2 linked regions of the Caenorhabditis elegans genome follow. The protein of the gene in region 2 interacts with the protein of the main gene of each other region in a pairwise test. Each region holds a gene or a part of one and is shown on either strand. Other genes may lie near its edges.

The links.
Region 1: the proteins of asna-1 (region 2) and cee-1 interact in a two-hybrid assay, tested with the Caenorhabditis elegans proteins (2 studies listed by BioGRID).

Annotation. Positions count from the first base shown.
Region 1 is NC_003281.10:4,910,527-4,914,633, forward strand, and holds cee-1 (Get4 family protein), read left to right. Parts: upstream 1-2,172; 5' UTR 2,173-2,177; coding exon 2,178-2,343; intron 2,344-2,386; coding exon 2,387-2,603; intron 2,604-2,654; coding exon 2,655-3,015; intron 3,016-3,059; coding exon 3,060-3,210; intron 3,211-3,259; coding exon 3,260-3,453; 3' UTR 3,454-3,607; downstream 3,608-4,107. Other genes in the region: F26F4.9 (Glutaredoxin domain-containing protein), read right to left, coding at 53-136, 231-372, 417-568, 1,481-1,641, 1,683-1,835, 1,897-1,912; F26F4.2 (PDZ domain-containing protein), read left to right, coding at 735-806, 854-958, 1,006-1,140, 1,189-1,422; rars-1 (putative arginine--tRNA ligase, cytoplasmic), read right to left, coding at 3,731-3,837, 3,895-4,107.
Region 2 is NC_003281.10:8,893,030-8,897,233, reverse strand, and holds asna-1 (ATPase asna-1), read right to left. Parts: upstream 2,153-4,204; 5' UTR 2,146-2,152; coding exon 1,712-2,145; intron 1,664-1,711; coding exon 1,405-1,663; intron 1,197-1,404; coding exon 987-1,196; intron 859-986; coding exon 733-858; 3' UTR 580-732; downstream 1-579. Other genes in the region: ZK637.4 (uncharacterized protein), read right to left, coding at 2,578-2,674, 2,730-2,783, 2,833-2,900, 2,953-3,021; lnkn-1 (Protein linkin), read right to left, coding at 3,359-3,490, 3,797-3,958, 4,017-4,204. UniProt on the Caenorhabditis elegans protein: ATPase required for the post-translational delivery of tail-anchored (TA) proteins to the endoplasmic reticulum. Recognizes and selectively binds the transmembrane domain of TA proteins in the cytosol.

The sequences.
Region 1 (4,107 bases), 4.0 Mb from region 2:
GGGCATGAATAAATAATAATTACATGATCTCAAGATATCATCTCTCCAAAATTTATTTGACTTTATCCAGACCATGTGTTCTATCGTAGTTTCGTATACCTTCGAGGCCTCCAATAAACTCTCCGCACACGAATACCTGAAACGTTTTTAAAAATAACTACTTTATCTCAGTTTTGTGGTTAATAAAAAACTGTCGTTAAGAAAAGCGTTCGGAAAAATATGAAACTTACATATGGGGATTTTTTGGTTTTAAATCGATTTTCCATCACTTTCAATACTTCTTCACCAGGCCAATCTGACTGCTTATCATGCTCAAAAACTTGAAATTTCGAGATATCGAGTCGATATGTTGACACCAATTGACAAACTTTTCTGTAAAACCTAATGTTTTTTGTTGAAAATGCCTTTCATTATACCTAAACTCTGGACAGTTGCTTTCTCCAAAAACCACAATTGGCGCTGAGTCCGGAATATTCTCCACAATTTTGATGGCTTTCTCGTTTTTATTGATAATTGATGTTTTTAATACAGACGATGTTGATGACGAGTGGCCAAGTACGTTACAAGTCTGAAAATTTATTTCTGTTAATTTCAAAATTCAAAAAGAGTAGAAAAGAATTAATAAATAAATAAAAAGTTCGTTCCGTGAAGCTCTACAAACTGCGTGTTTGTTTTTTTTTGTTGTTCAATATGAAAATCTTCGATTGAAATCAGTTTGGATTTTAGTTTCAAAGATGGCGGATGCAAATGCAACGATCTGTTATTTGAATGGTCTTTCTCTTCATACCATCAATGAAGTCGAGAAGGTATGTTTTTCAATGAAATTTTCAGACTTTCATTCTAAATCATTCAGATTTTGCTCGCTTTGCCAAAGAAAGGGGACCGCTGTGAAGTGCAAGTGACCAAACCGTTGAATGGAACCATCGGACGTAGTACTGGGGATGTCATTGCTTCAAAGGTTCAGTAGATGCCGGCTCAATTTTTAATAAAATTGCAAATTTCTAGAGCATGCAGATCCATGATGAGCCAAGACCATTGTCTCTGTCACCGCCTCTGCAGAAATCTGAGAAATCTTCGAAGAGCAAGAAACTTTCCGAGTACAGTTGCATGAGTTCGACTAAGGAACAAATGGAGACTGTGGTATTGCTCTTCAAAAAAAGTCCCCAAAATAATAATAGTTTTTTGAAGGAAATTCGCAACGGTTCCAATGCTTCTGCGGCAAAGAAACTCCAATGCAAGGTCTTGACTGATCAAGTTCGTGTCTCGCCAATCGTCTCGTGCAACGGAGTGATTTTGGAGTTGGATGTTGAAGTCACAATTCCTGATCGTGAGGAGAAGAAGAAATTGAAGTTGGAGATCGAGTGCCCCGATTTTGTGCCAGCTCGCATCAAAATTGGCAACAAATGGAAGAAAATTGTTTGAGCGAAAAAGAGTACGATTTGGAGGCAATAAATATTTTGTATTTGATTAAAGTAACTACCTTTTCTTGTTCTTCATATTCTCGTTGCCTTTTTTCGGCTTCTTCTTTCAGTTTCTCTTCACGTTTTGATGTTTCAATTTTCTCTTTCTCGTCGTGCTCTCGTTGTTGTTTCTGTCTTGCCAATCGCATCTTATCGGCTTCTCTGTCTTGAACTTGTCTATCTGAAACGTTTTATTGATGGATAAATCTGTGGTTTTCTTACCGAACTTTTTCTGCTCGATAAGCCTTCGTTCTTCTTCTCTCGCTACCATTAAGTCATAAATATACTTCTTGAAAAGAATGTATATTAAGATCACAACAAAAACTGTCATCCATCCGTAAACTTCAAGAAACGCCCAGGTGCTTGTTCGAAGATCTATAATTATATCGCTTAAATATATGCTCAACAGTTGAACTATTGAAATTCTCGTTATTACCTTGAAGAGTACCCATATTGCTTTAATAAACGTTGAATTATAGCGAAAAAACACCAAAAATTGACAACTTGTCTTGTCCGAGAGGAGTACACGACATTCGGATTCTCGGCCGTGGCCTAGAATATTAGTCAATTTTTGTGCATTTCCACGATTTTTCAACCAGTTTTATTTAACTTTTTTTTCGTCTCTAAAACCACAAAATCGAAATAAAATTTTGAGTTTTCTTGTAAAATATCTTATTTGAAATATTCTGAATACATTTTCTCTTTTTTTGAGATCAAATGGACGCCACAACTCTTTCGAGATTGTCAGAGTTTGAAAAAGAGAAAAAGTTTTATGATGCTCTTCAATTCTACCGGACCAAGGTCACACGCAGTTTCCGATTGAAAAATGCAAATGAAGTGGCTATTCCACTCGTTAAACACGCACTGGAATTCTTCTTCAGAGGTTTGAAAACCAAAATAGAAAATCAAATCTTTTTTATTTTCAGAAAAACAATATCAATGCGCCATCGATATCACCACACAATATGCCGAGTGTCTCTCGAAAAATAACGTTGATCTTGGAGAAGAAGCCTTCAATATTCTTGCTGATAGCGTCTCAAAGTTCGCTAATTTTGCAGAGATTGAGAACGAGGCTGGAAATTCAGAACCCGAACAGTTGTTGAACACTGCACGTTGTAAATGTGTTGACTTGGCCATTCAATGGTAGGTTTATTTGTCGAGGCAATTAAAATATTATTTGATTATTTAATTCAGGACAAAGCAAAAAGCAACCACTCCGATTGAGAAGAAATACGGTTCCGCAGCCTTTCATACTGTTCTCGCCAAAAAGCTAGTTGCCGTCGATCATGTGGAACTTGCCAAAAATCATTTCTTGCTTTCCGATGACTTTAAATCATTCGCCAATTTCCTTCACCAAGAATATGAAAGCTTTAAACAAAAAGAGTCTGAACCAGAAGTCATTATTGTTGAAGCCGTTTTTCAGTCACTCTGTCTCGATCGTTTCCCATTTGCCGTATCTCTTTTCACTGAATACGTGGCTCCTGCCAAGTATCCGTTCACAAAGCCATTGCTCAATTTCCAGCACATATTATTTGACGTTATTGAGACGGAAAACGTGAGTTGAAAACGAACACTGACTTTTAAAAACTGTTTTTCCAGCAACCTCAATATTCGGAGCTCACCTCTAGCTATCAAACAGAATTGAAAAGGTCCCTCGCATTCATTGGATATCTCACGAGAATTGGGAAGCTCTATTTCGGAATTCGTGATAATCAATGCATGAGCGGCGGTCTGGGTGGACTTTTTTCAGGTTCGCTTAAAATTTTAATTTAAAAAAATAATTAACACATTTATTTTAGGACTTCTTGGTGGTCAAAAAGAGGAAGAAACTGCAACTTCTCATATCACTTCTCGGACTCCAGCTCGTCAAAAGCCAGCTGCCATGTCTCAACCTTCTCCATTCGGTCCATTTGGCGCTCTTGCTGGTGCACCGGCTCCAGCTCCAGTTCCAAAGAAAATTCAAAAAGTTGAAATGGAAGAGGATCTCGATTAAGTTTAGATTTCATGTTAAACTATACCTTTTCTTATTGAAAATTGCTCCTTATTTACTGGAAATATTCCCCGATTACCCCTTTTTGTTCCGCTCTTCTTTCATGTGATATTGGGTTTAACTGATGCTTTTTATTGAATATAAAAATTCGAGTTTATTGGTGATAATAGGATCCCACAGTGGAAAACGTTCTGAATAGATAAATACGAGCCGTTGCAAAAAATGAACAAATAATTAAGAAACAACAACAAACGGGGATGATAGAAGAAAACACCGGTGCTCACATCTTGTTGACTTCGCGAAGTCCGAGAATCTTGAAGCATGTTGACATGACTTTTCGGGTAACATCACACAAAGCGAGACGATGCATATGGACAAATGGTTTTTCTGAAAATAAGATTCCATAAATTATTTAAAAGGCTCGACATGTAATTACACACATACCTCCTTCCTTATTTTCAATAACGTAACACTCGTTGTAGAAGTCGTGGAACAGAGTGGCCAACTGATATACGTAGTCGCACATTTGATGAAGCATAAGACTGTCCAAAACAAGAAGAACACAATCCGAGAGCTTCAACAATTGTTTGGCGAGTTTAAACTCTCCTGGATGATCCAATGGGAGTGTTGGTGTACTCGCAATGTATTTGACCAAAT
Region 2 (4,204 bases):
GAATATTTGACAACTCATGTTTATTGTATAAATTCAAATTTCAAAACTGCAGAGAATGGGATATTGCACGTGGCTATTTGGTAATTTGAATGCAGAAAAAATTCCAAGGAATATGAAGTGGACCAAGGAAAATAAATTGGAAATAGCAACTTGAACATTAGGAAACGGGGCTAAGTGAATTGAAAATGAAATCACATGAAAAATAATACGAAGGTAAAATTACTCCAAAATCATTGTATCTCCAACTGCCATCCCCTCCATGGAGGCTCCATGGCCCTCCATTCTCAGGATCCATAAGTCTGGTTAAAAACAAGCTCGTAAACTAGAGATTTTAACAAGTTGTGTGAAAATTGAATTCTCTGAATCTAGGTAAGTGTCGGATGAAGTCTAGCAGTCGGAAAAATGTACTGCTTGGTCCCATGACCTGTCGGCTGCCTAATACTAGGTACTATTTGAAAGAAATTACGTCTAAAATCTAGCTAATTAAAATGATTACTTGACAAAAATAGTTTGCCAGGCTGAAGTTTGAAAGATAATTATGTTCCAAATATACTTCAATCCTAAGTAAAAAACAATGAATATCATAAATTATTCATTTGATTCGAAAAAGGCACCCACAATAAAGCGAGAAATAAGGGGACAGGGAATTTTGGAGAAAAAACATGGGATAGGAAGAATCTTTTAACATAAAAAACCACAGAACAAGTTGATTTTGTAGGAGAACAAATTAGTTTAGTTTTTGTTAGCTTCAGGATCCACCATCCGTTCGCTGAACTGAAGAATTGCGGGCCCTCCACGCACTTCTGCCTCAAGAAGTGGAAGTTTGACGACGTGGAAATCCTCGTAGAGCTCATCGATCTGGAAAAATTGATTTATTCCGCATCTAGCAAATCACGACAGAGTCAAAAATGCACTGTGGTTATTCAATATTAATTTGCTCAAAGTTTCTAATTTAATAATTTATCAAACTTCTCATTTAAACTCACATCTGTCAAGTATTTCGACTGAATCGCCTGTCTCGATGCACATTTTCTGCATGAAACTGTTCCATTTGCATCGGTATCCGGAAAGAGAAGTTGATTCACAATAATATTATGAGTATCGATTCCTTGTTTGGACAACTCCTGAATAAGTCGTTCGGTTTCGTAAAGAGAGAGGAATTCGGCAATGCAGACGCAGACGAATGTGGTGCAATTCTGTAAATACATATTTGAATGCTCTGCAGAAACTTTGATGATTTAAAATCTCTGAATTCAATATATATCAAGCTAGAATTTACCCTTGATATAATTGAAAAGGTTAAAAAAACATATTACCAAGATGCAGAATTTTACGACAATTTTCGCGTCTGGGTGATATATCTCCGTAGTAATTTTAAATATCACTTGAATCTGAAAAACTAACAGGATCCTTAAACTGTGCGTTCATCTTTTTCACAGATTCTAGAGTCGTTGTCATCTTTTCAATCATTTCATTCATTGATCCACCTCCCATTCCAAACATTCCACCGAATTGATTCATCATTGGTCCAAACATTCCTTGAAGTGACAGAATTTTCGTAAATACTTTTTCCAAAAGTGTTGGGAATTGAAGAAGACGAAGAGTGTGCCCAGTTGGAGCGGTGTCAAAGACCACAACGTCGAAGTCAAGAGAGTCTATCAACCTGAAAAAAATAATAGATTTTTTAAAAATCAGAATCATTGACACTCACTTTATCATTTCCCCGAAACTCATTGCCTCATCAATCCCAGGAAGTCCTCCAGCAAAACTTTGAAGAAAATCTTTTCCCATCGAGAATCCACCGCTTCCACCTTCGTTTTGTGCAGCATTTTGCAGCATTTCTTCGATATTCCCCATTTCGACGCCTTCTCCGTTCGGATTTGAATCGATTTCCATTGCAAAGAGATTTTTGAAACCTTCGACCAGTGTTGGAGTTTTTGTGAATTTCTGACTGAAGGCATCAGAAATGTTGTGGGCGGGATCGGTGGAGATGAGAAGAACTCTCTCACGAACTTTTGAGAGTTGAGCTGCCAATGAGCAACTGCATGTCGTCTTTCCGACACCTCCCTTTCCACCCACAAAAATCCATTTTAGCGTTTTTTGTTCGAGAATATTCTTGATAGAGGCTTCCAGCTGATCCGACATTATTTCTGAAAAAAAAAGAAGTTTTAGGTTTATTTGCATTTAAAGTTTGAAATTTTAAAAAGAAATGTCTAGCCTTTTGCAGTTTTTTTAATTTTTCAAGTAAAAATGGATACAAATTTTTATTGTTTTTCTACAGTGTTTTCTCGACTTGATAGGAGTTAAGTTCTTTAATAAATAACTTTTTTGATTCGATTATGAAAATTCCGAAAGTGTTTATTACAGTACTCCAAAGGCGCACAACTTTCTGCATTTAACAAAATTTTCTCGGGGCGAGACCCAGGTTACAAAACCTCAACATTTTATGTCTGGGTAATATTTTTTTTTGGAGAACTGAAGAAATAATAATAAGGTAATAGAAAACCATTAGAACACGGATAAAACTTGAAAAAAATGAAATAATTTCTAAAACTTTATTAAATAAAAATCGAAAAATCATTCGGACGGTTGTTTCTGTGAAATGTGAATTAGACGATCATCGATATGAACTGGTTCGGAGCTCGGAGTCACTTGCACACCACTGGCCTTCAATCTGAAAAAAATGAATGTGGGTTCCATGTCATTGCAACGATTTTCCGATGTAATACCTCAATTTTCGATTGTCCCAAAGGCAATCCGGCATCGGGTAAGACAGAAGATACCTGAAAATATTGAGTTTTTTATGAGAATTTTCCATAAAATGAAACTTACAGTTTCAATGGCGCAATGTAATAATCCAAAAACTCCAGAATTCGCTCTTTCAGACTGTTGTTTGGAACCTGAAATTGGAAACTTTTTGTTAAAGTTAACAAAAATTTGAAGAAAACTCACATATTTCGGCGAATATTTGCTCTGCCGCTCCACGTCATTCATTAGAAAATATTTTGGATTTGACTTCATTAGGAAAAAATTCAAAAAGTTTTATTTTAATAGTTCGTCAAAAAAACGAAAAAGTCTCTGTTCAGTTTATAAAGAGAGTGATGGAGGGTAAGGGGTCACGTGGAATAAATATTACAGTTGTTTTCAAATAATGTTTCTATTTTCAAACAAGGAAAACTCGGATTTAAAGCTGATCTCTAAAAATACTCCGACGTGCAATCACAGCTCGAAATGGGAAATCTAAACACAGGATGAAGCTTCAAAAGGTCAAATATGCAAAAAAAGAGACAAATGATGGGAACCCGTAAAAAACGATCTCGTCTTCAAGAAGATATGATCTTAAAATTCACAAAAAAATCTACATGGCATCGAAATGGAATCGATGAGATTGTTGTTGTCGTTCGTATCGATCTTCCTTTTTCTCTCGATAATGTAAGAATACGACAACCATTAGAAGCATACAGCATACGAGAGCAATGACGGCAAGACTCTGGAAAATGAGAATATCGATTTATTATAGAGACGTGGAAATGTGCCCCATGGCCAACTGACTACGCTCCGCCCCCGAGCCATGGGTCTCGTTAGTTATTTGGCAGCAAACCCGTGAATTCAACGAATTCGTATTTGCAACCATTTTGAAATGTTTTTCGTTAGTTTTAATGATTTTTATGCCGAAATTATGTTTAAAGAATGCATTAAAAATGAAAAGTTTTTTTCTTTTATTTTTTAATTTTATTTTATCAATTTCCGTCGTTCCCATTTGGAGCGTATGTCCACGTCTCCATAATAATCTTACCTGAACAATAAGAGCTGATGGTGTGACGTAGAGCCGACTCGTCCAGTGTGGATATTGATCCGATGGTGGGAGAACAATAATCCGAGAATTTGGAACAATCTGTTTAAGACTGTGTTTCCAATCTTCTTTACGATCTGCGTATTTCGGAATGGCAATATTCAACTGAAAAAAAGATTATTTGGAATAATTGAACGAAAATATCTAGAAGATATGAAATTACCTCATCCACAAAATTTGGACTTCTTCCAAGACCATACAACAAAAATGGGAGATAAAGTGCTCTATTTGATGAAGCCGGAACTTGACATGCTACACTCTGTGTACTACCTCCCCATCCATCTGTCATTGAGAAAGAAGCACATGCACCAGTCATACTGATACTCGATCCAATCTCGTTTGATTTTGGAT